Linked DNA regions of Lepisosteus oculatus. The protein of the gene in region 3 interacts with the protein of the main gene of each other region in a pairwise test. Links are inferred from orthologs where the notes say so. Each region holds a gene or a part of one and is shown on either strand. Other genes may lie near its edges. The genes, in order: enkd1, rhobtb3 and ubxn11.

Region 1 (3,750 bases), on a different chromosome or scaffold from region 3:
ACAGAAAAAGAAGACACTCCGCGGCCCTCCTCTCTGTTCTCCAGACCCTGCCTCCCCCTCCCTAACCTCAGCATCCGCGTCAAGGGTGGGGGGCCCAGGGGAGGGGCTGCGCCGTGGGGCTCCTGCACTTCCACAGCGCGAGTGAGCCTTCAGGAAGTTCTGGCACTCGGACCTCTTGGGGGGCGTCGTCTCCTGGGAAAGACGGGGATGAAATGTGAAATGTCCATTTCGCAGAGAGTGACAGAAGAATCGTTGCCCTGTTAAGTGGCCGGTACAGAGCGCCGCCGTATTGAGCTGAGCAGTCCCTGGAGCAGGGAGTTTCTCTGGGAGTTTCCGAGCCCCCAAGCTTCTGTTAACCAACAGTGCTGTCCTGCACCACCAGCCTCACCTGCAGCTGGGTCATGACCTTGGACGGCACTGCCTCGTATTTTGGGGACCTCCACAGCGCCTTGACGGGCACAGGCCGGGCGCCCTCTTTCTCGGCCTCTCGCTCCCTGCAGCGGCGCTGGATCTCGCGCAGTCGCCGCACGTTCTCCTTGCCGTGATCCCGCGGCTCCTTCTCTGAAGACACCACAGAACGCACACGTGGGCTCGGGATTTAGGACGAAGCACTTCTATACCCGGCCTGAAACACTCATTGCAGTGCGACGCCGGCCCTCCAATTGTTTTGAAACAGAAATGATTAAGACAGCACAATTCCAATATAAAACCGTACCAGATGACAATTCGTTTTTACACAGACTCTGCTATTAACTCATCCATCCATTCTTCCATTTTCTATGGAGGCAAGATACACCCTGGGCAGGACGCCAGTCCATCGCAGGGCACACATACACAGACACGCACACACTCACACCAGGGCCAGGCAAACTCGCCAGCATGTCTTTGCATGCAGCATGAGGAAACCAGAGCACCCAGAGGAAGCCCACATGAACCCTGGAAGAACCACTGCGCTACTGTGGCACCTGCTATTAACTCGTACTGCACAATTTGCATTAGACGCTTACTTGTTTCCCTAACTCCTTCTATAACAATATATACACTCAATAATCAAAATATTGGAAAACCCCACCCGATTATACGGCATCCCATTCTGAAAAGCAAGGACAGCCTGCAGCACATATTCCTCAGGAAATATCAGGAAATATTTCCAGCCCAATCACATCCCATTCTTCCAGCAAGATCATTTTTATTTGCGATGATGATTAAGATTTGTAGGGCCAGCATATCAGTAAACCTGTATTTCCAAGAGGAAGTGAGATCTGGGCATTGTTCTGGTTAGGGGGTTAGGGATCGTGATGGGAATACTTCTCCTGCTCCTCAAGCCTCACGCTGACCATTCACACGAATCGGGGCTTCCAACACTTTGACAAGTGTGTCGGATCTGATAAACAGGATATCAGAGGGAGGGAGTTTATTTACTGTGTTTTGGGGGATCTGGGTGCAGAGAGACCCCTTCCAGCTGCAGCAGATTTCCAACGACCCCTCGCTGACCCCTCTCGAGGATGTGCATGGCGTTGGGGTGCACTCGGGGGGGAGGAGGGGGGCGTGCGCTGTAGCAGCCAGGGTGCAGCGAAGGGTCAGGGGCTAGAGGGCCGGACAGAAAGGTCAACTTCAGGTCATTCCCCTCTAGCCTGCCTCGCGCTGTCAACAGAGAGCAAGAGAAACACAGAGATTATAACCACAGTTCGCATAAGTACAGGTGTAATAACCAATTACTGCATATTCCAATGTGAGTGAGCTAAGTCAAGACAAAGAGGTTGAGGAAGAGGAGGAGGATGGAGGCACAGAAAGATGTTTAATGACTGATGAATTATGGGACGGCCACACATGAACTAGGGAAGCACACAGACTCAGGCGAATCCGATGTGAGTAGACGGTCACTCAAGTCCCCAAGACTGGACTAGATAGTGTCTTACCAGAGGCCGGACGTCTGTAAAACTCAGGGAAGAGGGTGGGATCGGGAGGGATCGGTCCAGAGATCCGTGATGGGCCTTCACACATCGTCCCACTGCTCGGGACAAAGCCAGAGAAAATCCACTATCAGGGCATGGCCTGAAATCCCCAGCTACAATTCCTGCATCATTCCCGAGCTTAAGGCACGAGCAGTGCCAGGAGATCTTTCTGAGACTTGGGCCTGCAATTCTTCTTTCTGCTATCATACAGACAAAACACAAGTCCTTCTGAGCCCTGAAAGTAATGTGTTAATATTTACAACATGCCCGATTTCCACATAATACTGTGAATGGCTAACCTTTGAAGATAAATGCACTAATTTAAGTAAGTGGGGGATGCCACAAACCCTGGCTGCTGCCCTGTATAGTGGAGAGACCCCAGGTTCAGGGTCACACAGTGACAATCTGACACACACATATCCCCGGACACACGTGGCCATGCTTCGACTGGCTCAGACATACTCCCACGCTGAAGTGCCAGTCGGGGCACAGCTATAAAAAGAAAATATTCAAGTAACAGACAAGATAACACATCAGGCATGTTGTACTAAATCAGACTAAATGTGGTGTCAAATCATACCGGCTAAAAAAATCTAAAGACACAGAAAACATTGTAGAGACTGTTCTGGATGCGTTTCATTTTTAAGGCTGGATTACTGAAGGTTTATAAAGTAGTATTATGGATTTCAAGCTGAGCACAGGACACACTTTACGCAAAGGGTGGTGGGAGAGTGGAACAAGCTGCTCAGCCATGTGGTTGAAACCGATACCTTCTTTCAATAAACAGCTGGATGAGATCCTTGGATCAATCCGTCACTCACTACCAAACAGGCCACATTATTAATAATAATAACATCACTTTATTAACCCTCTACAATTTCTTGCATTAGAAATTATCTTTTTGCATACCCCAGCTTGCTCTCCATGAGACACACAGATAGGGAGAGAGTCTGGGGTGACCTCCTGTAGTTTGTAAACTTTATGTTCTTATGTTTTATACCTCAGGCGTATTCTAACGTTATACTTTAATTCTGACAGTAATTGTTTTTAAATGGATGTTACCACCCTTACTAATGATACATAATCATTTTAGTAGCAGTAATAGTTATAATAGGAACAGTCGTATAATTCAGTTTATACCTGTATGCGAGACTCGCAGTTTATAACTCTCTTCTGTCTTAGACACGAACAACTATAAACTCACCCAGGTGGACTCAGAACAGTAACAGTACAATACTGACTCCAGAATGAGTCATGGGAGACCGCAGCAAATACGATACGTGATATTTGTTATCAGTAAGAATTGCAATTGCTTTGAAAAGAGATGTGGGATTTAAAAGGTGAAATTGACATCAGTCCTGTTCCGCACACCCCCACAGACGATTTTTTTCACGTTTCTTGTGCACGAAAGTGAAACCGCCGAAACACACTGCAACCGGCACGGTATCATTTGGAGACGACCAGCGAGCAACCGGACAGGAGAGCCGGTTGACTGTGGACAAGACACAGACATCGACGAATGAAATTTAAAAATGATGCGAGGCTCTGTCACTGCACATAAAGGTTAACAGCCATCATATCAGTGGTCATTAATCTATAACGTTTTAAAATACACGCCTCTCAGAAAACGCGTGACATTTTACCGAACTTGCGGCCAGAACATGTTAACTTTTTGGCGACATAAAATTAGCAAAACAACAGGAGTCAGAATCAATATAAAGAGGAATCGCTCCCTATTTGTAAACGCTTTTTAGCCAAACAGCGCTTTTTCGTTAATTATTTAAATCAAAATAAG
Region 2 (3,750 bases), on a different chromosome or scaffold from region 3:
GGGTGAGCACGGAGACGCAGAGGTCGGCCACGGCCAGGTTGGTGATGAGGGCGTCTATTTTCCGCCGCTTGCTCCGGCCGCAGCAGATCTTGTGGAGCACGATGGAGTTGCCCAGGAACGCCACGGCGAAAATGACGGACATCGATATGATTCGGACCTGCCGGTTGTAGAAGGGGCCCCGGGTGGAGGAGGAGTTGCCCCCGCGGTCGGCCAGAGGGAGACTCCAGCGGTCCAGCTCGGACGAATTCGTGCGCGGGTCGCCAGCGAAGCCGGGCGCGCCGTCCATCTCTGCGCGCCACAGCCCTGAGCGATCCTGTCAACTTCTCAAGCTGAAGACGAAGTGCGGGCGCAGGGACCGGCTGCATGCAACGGCAGGACTAACGAACCGTCAAGCACCAAGCCCCGGTCGCCAGCCCAGCGCCCGCGAGTGCCTCCATAGCTCAGAGAGCAGGACCGGCGAGCGCTTGCCAGACAAGGCGTTATAGACCACAGAGCGGCAGCCGCAGCTTATATAGACCAGCCCGCGTCATCTGACGATATACTCGCGGGCAGGGGCGAGTGGGCTCGGCAGCAAGGCGGGGGTCTCGGTGACGCCGAGTTTGCGATCGAACCGAGGCCGGAGCCCTCCTGGAGCAGAGCGGGCACGAACACACGGCAGCGCGAGTGAGAGCGCTTCACGGTGCTGGGCTCGGGAGAGCACGCAGAACCGCAGTGCCCCTTACACAGAGCAGTTCTGTGCGTCATTCTTACACCCCGAAGTATTAAAATCAGTGCCCAGAACAATCACCATCTGTGAATGCACCAGAAAATGAGCGAGCGCGTCTTCGGAGTGACAGACGGCAGGAATCCACAGCGGGATCACACGGGAAGGGGACGGGAAGACCGGGAGGTCCACACCTGGCCCGCGGGTACAGGGATCATATGATCGCGATCTGATTGTAAATACCGCTACTGCTACCGCTACTGCTGGTACAGCTATTACTAGTGCTGCTACTGCTGGTACTATTGTACTACTACCTCTCAACTACTACAGTCGCTACTAGTGCTCCTACTCCTGCTATTACCTCTTAACCACTACAGCAGCTACTACTAGTGCTGCTGCTGCTACGTTTCTGCCTCTTCTGCCACTGCTCCAGTCAGCACCATTGCGATCCCCGTGTTCGTGTGGGGTGTCAGTGCCCCACTGCAGACACGCTGGCAGGTTAATACGCTCCTGGGAAACTCCTGGTGTGTGTGAGAGTGTGTGAGTGTGTGTGTGCGCGTGTGTGTGTGTGATTGTGCGTGTGTGTGAGTCTGAGTGTGCGAGTGTGTGCAAGTGAGTGTGTGTGTGAGTGTGCGTGTGATTGTGCGTGTGAGTGTGTGTGCGAGCGAGTGTGTGTGTGAGTGTGATTGTGTGCGTGTGTGAGTGTGAGAGTGTGTGTGTGATTGTGTGCGTGTGTGAGTGTGAGAGTGTGAGTGTGATTGTGTGCGTGTGTGAGTGTGAGAGTGTGTGTGTGAGTGTGAGTGTGATTGTGTGCGTGTGTGAGTGTGAGAGTGTGAGTCTGATTGTGTGCGTGTGTGAGTGTGAGAGTGTGAGTGTGTGTGAGTGTGCGTGTGCGTGTGATTGTGCGTGTGTGATTGTGTGTGTGCGTGTGTGTGAGTGTGTGTGTGAGTGTGCAGGGGTCTGGTGGGCCCTGCCTGGCGCTCATCTCTCCGCCGCCACCCTGAATCGGATGCATCCGTTAGAAACGGGAGGAATGGACGAACTTTTAGCCACGTTTCGACACCTCGGCGCCGTTTCGGAACAGCAGTACAGCAGCTCGAGAGTTAGGAGTTCACGCTTTTCCTTTCAGCGTGGAATCGGCCTTCACCTGTTGCCTGGAGAGGCCGCGCACGCCATCTAGCGGTGTAACACACACCTTACAGAACACGCACTTCTCCCCGGCTCTGCAGCAGCCGCGGGGAGCACCGTTTAACCGACGCGCTTCACGAGCTGTGAATTAAAATGATATAAACATATAAGGGAGAGTTTAATTCTTGTTTCAGTGAAATATGTCATACCCATTTCTATATACACTACAAGCGCGCCATGATAACAGCTTAATACGTGTTCGTGTATTTAGGTGAAACATAAATATTTTTTTTGTTGCTCTAAGTCATCTAATTTATCTTAGATCTTGGACAGTTGTTTTCGAGTTCGACTTTAGCCAACAATATTAAAACGGGTATTTTGGTGATGCTGCCTGAATTTATCCGCGCTGAACAAACGGATCCCGCTGTTTCATTTGATGTGCAACTCCAAATAAGTGCAATTCAGAAAGTACAATTCACAGGGGGGAAAAAAAGTATCTGTTTCGCTACAACAGCTGCAAGAAATAAGAGTTTTTGTTTGTTCATTGTGAAAATCTGCTCTCCTGCTTCAGCACCACGTGGGGTGTCACGTGTCCAGGTCGTGGCGTCTCGCGGACTGCGGTGCTCCCGTGATTTCAGTCCGGCCAGGAAAACGCAGAAAATTGTTTCAGGGGACTAGATCTATATTATATTTCTGTTTCTGACCTGTGCTGCTTGGGTCTGCGGTGTCACCAGGATGAGAAACGTCTGAAAGGACGGCAGACCGGTGAGTGCGGCGACGTCTGGGTATTTCTCTGACCCGCCGGCTTTTATTTTAATGTCTGGTTTGTGTCGGACATCAAAATAAAGGTGGACGTACACACAGCTGGTGTCGGGTCCAGTTCGGTCCCCCTGTACCCCTGTACTCAATCTGTACCCCTCCAGTACAGTCTCTCCTGGAATCTGTACCCCTCTAATACAGTCTCTCTGGGAATCTGTACCCCTCCAGTACAGTCTCTCCGGGAATCTGTACCCCTCCAGTACAGTCTCTCTGGGAATCTGTACCCCTCTAATACAGTCTCTCTGGGAATCTGTACCCCTCTAATACAGTCTCTCTGGGAATCTGTACCCCTCCAGTACAGTCTCTCTGGGAATCTGTACCCCTCTAATACAGTCTCTCCTGGAATCTGTACCCCTCCAGTACAGTCTCTCTGGGAATCTGTACCCCTCCAGTACAGTCTCTCCTGGAATCTGTACCCCTCTAATACAGTCTCTCCTGGAATCTGTACCCCTCTAATACAGTCTCTCTGGGAATCTGTACCCCTCCAGTACAGTCTCTCCTGGAATCTGTACCCCTCCAGTACAGTCTCTCCTGGAACCTGTACCCCTCCAGTACAGTCTCTCTGGGAACCTGTACCCCTCCAGTACAGTCTCTCTGGGAATCTGTACCCCTCCAGTACAGTCTCTCTGGGAATCTGTACCCCTCTAATACAGTCTCTCCTGGAATCTGTACCCCTCTAATACAGTCTCTCTGGGAATCTGTACCCCTCCATTACAGTCACTCTGGGAATCTGTACCCCTCTAATACAGTCTCTCCTGGAATCTGTACCCCTCTAATACAGTCTCTCTGGGAATCTGTAGCCCTCCAGTACAGTCTCTCTGGGAATCTGTACCCCTAATCTGTAATGTCAACGTGCTCCACAAAGCTTTGTAGCTTATTAGTTTCTTATTAAAAGCAGCACCAGCTGTTAATAATAACAGCAGCTCCTGCATGGATCTTGGTGCCTTGGCTCCTTGAGACACAGATGGACGGTGCCGGTTCTCCGCACGTGTTTATCTCGGTTTCTCTGTGTGTTTCATGAGTGGTGTACAGCATTACCGCCCCCCGGTGAATGAACGCTGAACTTTCTTTACATGAGAGAGGGGGACCGATAGCAATTG
Region 3 (3,750 bases):
TGAATATGAAATTTACCCAAGATGACTAATAAATTCCTTACTGTATAAATAAATGTTCTTTTTTCGAATTTCCTCTTATATAGGACAACAAAATATCAAAAGCCTTCATATAAAATCTTAGTATTCTATATTTCCAGAGAATTCCCATGACGTGAATTGACTGTACTCTGCCTGGCGATCTCTGTCGCTAAGGTTGGCGCAAGAGGTAGCCAGTTTAAGAAGCACAGTGATTAACGAGTGGGTCGGGGAGCACGTAGATTACGAAGGATTTAACGTGCTACTTTAGTTACGATAGGTTTTGGGAAACACTCGTAAATTAAGGATCGATCTTAAGAGCAAGTTTACGATGTTCTTAGCGCTACGATGCTTTCGGGAAACTCACCCCTGCCTGACATCAGCTAAATGCAATTAAAAAAAACATAAGAATTACGTATGATCGTAATGTTGGTGGTTTTTAAACCAGGACTTTGCCTCTTAGGCTACAGTTAGCGAAGGACGCCACAGCATGCTCAACTGCTCACTTCTGTGCATGATTTTATCTTAGTGGAAGACATGCACCTGAGTGTGGAGGAAAAGGCGTCAGAAGTGTAAACGCTCACAACACATTTTTGCCACAATAAATGCACTGCCTGCTAGTGTTTGAATTCTTTGAAGCTTCGTGCATCGAGATGAACCTATCTTGTGTGTGACTTCTCAGAAGTGTTCATGTTCTTGCTAGCGTGACGGAGCGAAGGGCTGTGTGAGTCTTTAGCTGGCTGCTTTTAGTGTATTTTACGGCAGAAGCTATCTGCTATTGCACTCTTCCCGTTCCTGTCAAATTTGAATTAATCAAAAAGTTTTCTTCATGAGACAAATTAGGACATTTTAAGGGAATCAGTCCAACCATAAAGGAAGACAGAAAGATTTCTCCAGAAAACTTCTGTCGCTCAAGATATTGTTAAGGTGGCGTGGTCGGAGCAAGATGTGGTCAATCAAGGAACATGAAATGTAGTAAATTATTGGAAATATTATCACTCAATCAATCAATTATCATCGTCATTTTCTTAGCCTTTAGGGTCGCGGGGGAGCCGGAGCCTAAACCGTCAACCGGAGGCTGAAATGTAATGTTTATTCTATTACAGAAAATGTAATATGTATTTTGCAAAGTAATAAAGGATAATGCTTGTATTATTATTATTATTATTATTATTATTATTATTATTATTATTATCGGTGGTGTAGTTTTACTGCATTTTGATTTAATAGAACACAACACATGTAACCTTCTGGCTATATTCTACACATTTTGGACTGCAGCAAAGAGGTTGAGGGTTCTATGCATGTTGTACGTGATCCAGTTCTAAAAAAAGAAATACAATGAGCAAAATTGCGCTTATCTAGTTCTTTTCCCATTGAACTCTCCCAGTATCCCACAAGTCTTCGGGCGGCAGTGTTGAGGTCAGACATCAGTGCGCTTCGGCCAATCGCAAACCACAGCCTGGATTGCCAATGGCAACCGACACCAAACAATTCCGCCTGGAAACGAACTCGCAAAACCAGGAGAGGTAATTCTGATATGAAAGTACTGCTGACAAATGATGTGCACTGTTGTCTAAAAAAAACGGTAACAAACGCTGTTTTTTTGTATTTGAAAAATAATACTTGTAAAGCGCGATCTCTCTGATCCTCAATAGTATAAAAATTAGTTTCGCCTTTTTCAAATGTAACATTTATTCTGCGCTATGAATTGATGTGTGTATTTCATTTGCATAACAGTCACATAGTAATATTGGTGCTCTCCTTCTCCAACGGGTCACTCAGACATATAAATGTCTTTAGATATTGTGTCATTATGTGAATATCCGGAATTATAACCTATATTGATATACGTCGCTTTTATCCAAAGTGACTTACCCAAAATAATAAAAAATATGACATAATCGCTAGAACTGTGAACAGGCACCTGATTTGGCCAAGCATATAAAGCTATAGTGTATAAGCATGCTCTTGCATTAACTTTTAAAATGAGAGATTTAGTTCACACTATAAGGTGAGTGTAATAATTAACAGATGAGTGAGATAATGTGATGAATAAGAGAATAATAGACATACTCAGTAGTTAAACGTTCATAATGAACAGAGGTATTTAGTTGGGATTCCTAATAATGGATCTGGAAACACAAACTGCAGTTGGTTCATTCCTGATGACCTTAATTACTTAATTAAGTAATGAAGTCTTAACTACAAAACTGCTAAAACAAGTTGAAAGTTTTGAATTTATTTTTTCTTATGTTCTTAACCCAAACATGTTCAAGATCTTAAAACAGTCAGACATTTCAAGTTAATCCCATCTTCAAGACAACTTTAGGAGTCAGATAATTGGGATTCAATTGTGTAAATGAGAGTTTGGTTTGAGCAAAGCTGTAACAGGCTTTGGGCCTATGGGGAATCTGTAAATTAGAGAACAAATGTTCAGATAGGCTGTATTTATTTGACAGCAGCATCTCTGAAATCTGTTGTGCTCACAGAGTGATTTTGTGTGTATTTGTTTTCTCCAACTCTGAAAGATGAGCTCTCCTCTCTCTACACTGAGAAAGAACAGAAGAACACCTCTACCTGAGTCACAGAACAATGGGTAAATAAAAAACAGATTAATATAATTATACTTTGCTGTCACAGATGTTTTCTTGAAATATTGCACAACTGCTACTGTACATCTGTTATTTCAATTTACTGTTTATCAATGTACTAACCTTAACAAAACATTTCTGTAAAACAAACTAAGTTGCTATAAAGAAGACATCTGTCTTTGATTGTATCAGTGGTGTATAATTTTACTGCTGTTTCTTTTATTAGTGATATTTGGTGTTAGCTGTGTGTTTGTGTGCTGTTTTTAATTTCTGTTAACTTGTGTTCCCACAGAAGAAGAGCAGTGCCATTTAAAAAAACTCCCTATACAGGCAAGTAGTCCCACATCTTCCTGCATTTACTACAAAGTGGTACAAATTGAATGCATCATTCTGCTGTGTGTAAACTAACACATAACAGGTTTTGTCATGATAGGAAAAACCTACAGTACCCTTTTCATCGCAGTATCTTTCACAGCTTTACACATCGATTTGCAAGATCAGTGTAAGATTGAGAAACACAGGACTAATTATAGCAAATGCTTTTTTTTCATATCAGTTTTTGAGATAGACCTAATATGAAAAACAGCTCATACACTGACTGCTTCCATAGTATTTTAATTATTTAAAAAAGAATTGTTCTTATTGCATACATTTTCTACAGTGCAGTGTGGACAGCATAGTGATATGGCAGTTAATATGCTGTCTTGCAACTCTGCAGTATCCTTTATTGGGTTCTGGGCTGGGGGTACCTTCTGTGCGGACTTTGTATGCCCTTGCCATGTTCACTTGGGTTTTTTGGGGTACTCTAGTTTCCAACCACCTCTCAAATACATGCTGGCGGGCTTCTTGGCAGCCCTAAATTGCCCCTTCCTTGATGAGCAGGAATGGGGCCCCTCCTTCATGAACCCTATCTGTCCAGAGGAGTGTATTTGGAGAAGGTTCTGGTGATGAAGAATACATAATTTCTTCAACGTTGCTGCTACAGTATATGAGACAGAGTGGGGCTTAGCTTTTGATATACAGTAGCTGCATGTCGTTATGGTGTGGTTTTCCTACTGAGTCTTTCTTGATTGTGTTTGTCCTTCACTTGTAACAGTTTTGATTTAGAAAAAGTTTCTGTTTCTGTTCTGGGTTCTGCTTG

The links.
Region 1: the proteins of ubxn11 (region 3) and enkd1 interact in binary tests that used the Homo sapiens proteins (3 or more experiments, as listed by UniProt). The two-hybrid records come from large-scale screens. The link is inferred for Lepisosteus oculatus from reciprocal best matches to the Homo sapiens genes UBXN11 and ENKD1.
Region 2: the proteins of ubxn11 (region 3) and rhobtb3 interact in binary tests that used the Homo sapiens proteins (3 or more experiments, as listed by UniProt). The two-hybrid records come from large-scale screens. The link is inferred for Lepisosteus oculatus from reciprocal best matches to the Homo sapiens genes UBXN11 and RHOBTB3.

What each region holds. Positions count from the first base shown.
Region 1 is NC_090697.1:65,809,524-65,813,273, forward strand, and holds the start of enkd1 (enkurin domain-containing protein 1), read right to left. Parts: upstream 2,544-3,750; 5' UTR 2,497-2,543; coding exon 2,303-2,496; intron 2,012-2,302; coding exon 1,920-2,011; intron 1,645-1,919; coding exon 1,423-1,644; intron 562-1,422; coding exon 389-561; intron 193-388; coding exon 67-192; intron 1-66. UniProt on the Homo sapiens protein: Microtubule-binding protein which regulates microtubule organization and stability. Promotes the stability of astral microtubules and facilitates the proper orientation of the mitotic spindle.
Region 2 is NC_090698.1:74,236,685-74,240,434, forward strand, and holds the start of rhobtb3 (rho-related BTB domain-containing protein 3), read left to right. Parts: upstream 1-852; 5' UTR 853-938; intron 939-1,908; exon of another isoform or gene 1,909-2,596; intron 2,597-3,750. Other genes in the region: probable G-protein coupled receptor 150, read right to left, coding at 1-286. UniProt on the Homo sapiens protein: Rab9-regulated ATPase required for endosome to Golgi transport. Involved in transport vesicle docking at the Golgi complex, possibly by participating in release M6PRBP1/TIP47 from vesicles to permit their efficient docking and fusion at the Golgi.
Region 3 is NC_090706.1:7,489,644-7,493,393, reverse strand, and holds the start of ubxn11 (UBX domain-containing protein 11), read left to right. Parts: upstream 1-1,407; 5' UTR 1,408-1,555; coding exon 1,556-1,603; intron 1,604-2,546; coding exon 2,547-2,614; intron 2,615-2,901; coding exon 2,902-2,939; intron 2,940-3,750. UniProt on the Homo sapiens protein: May be involved in the reorganization of actin cytoskeleton mediated by RND1, RND2 and RND3. Promotes RHOA activation mediated by GNA12 and GNA13.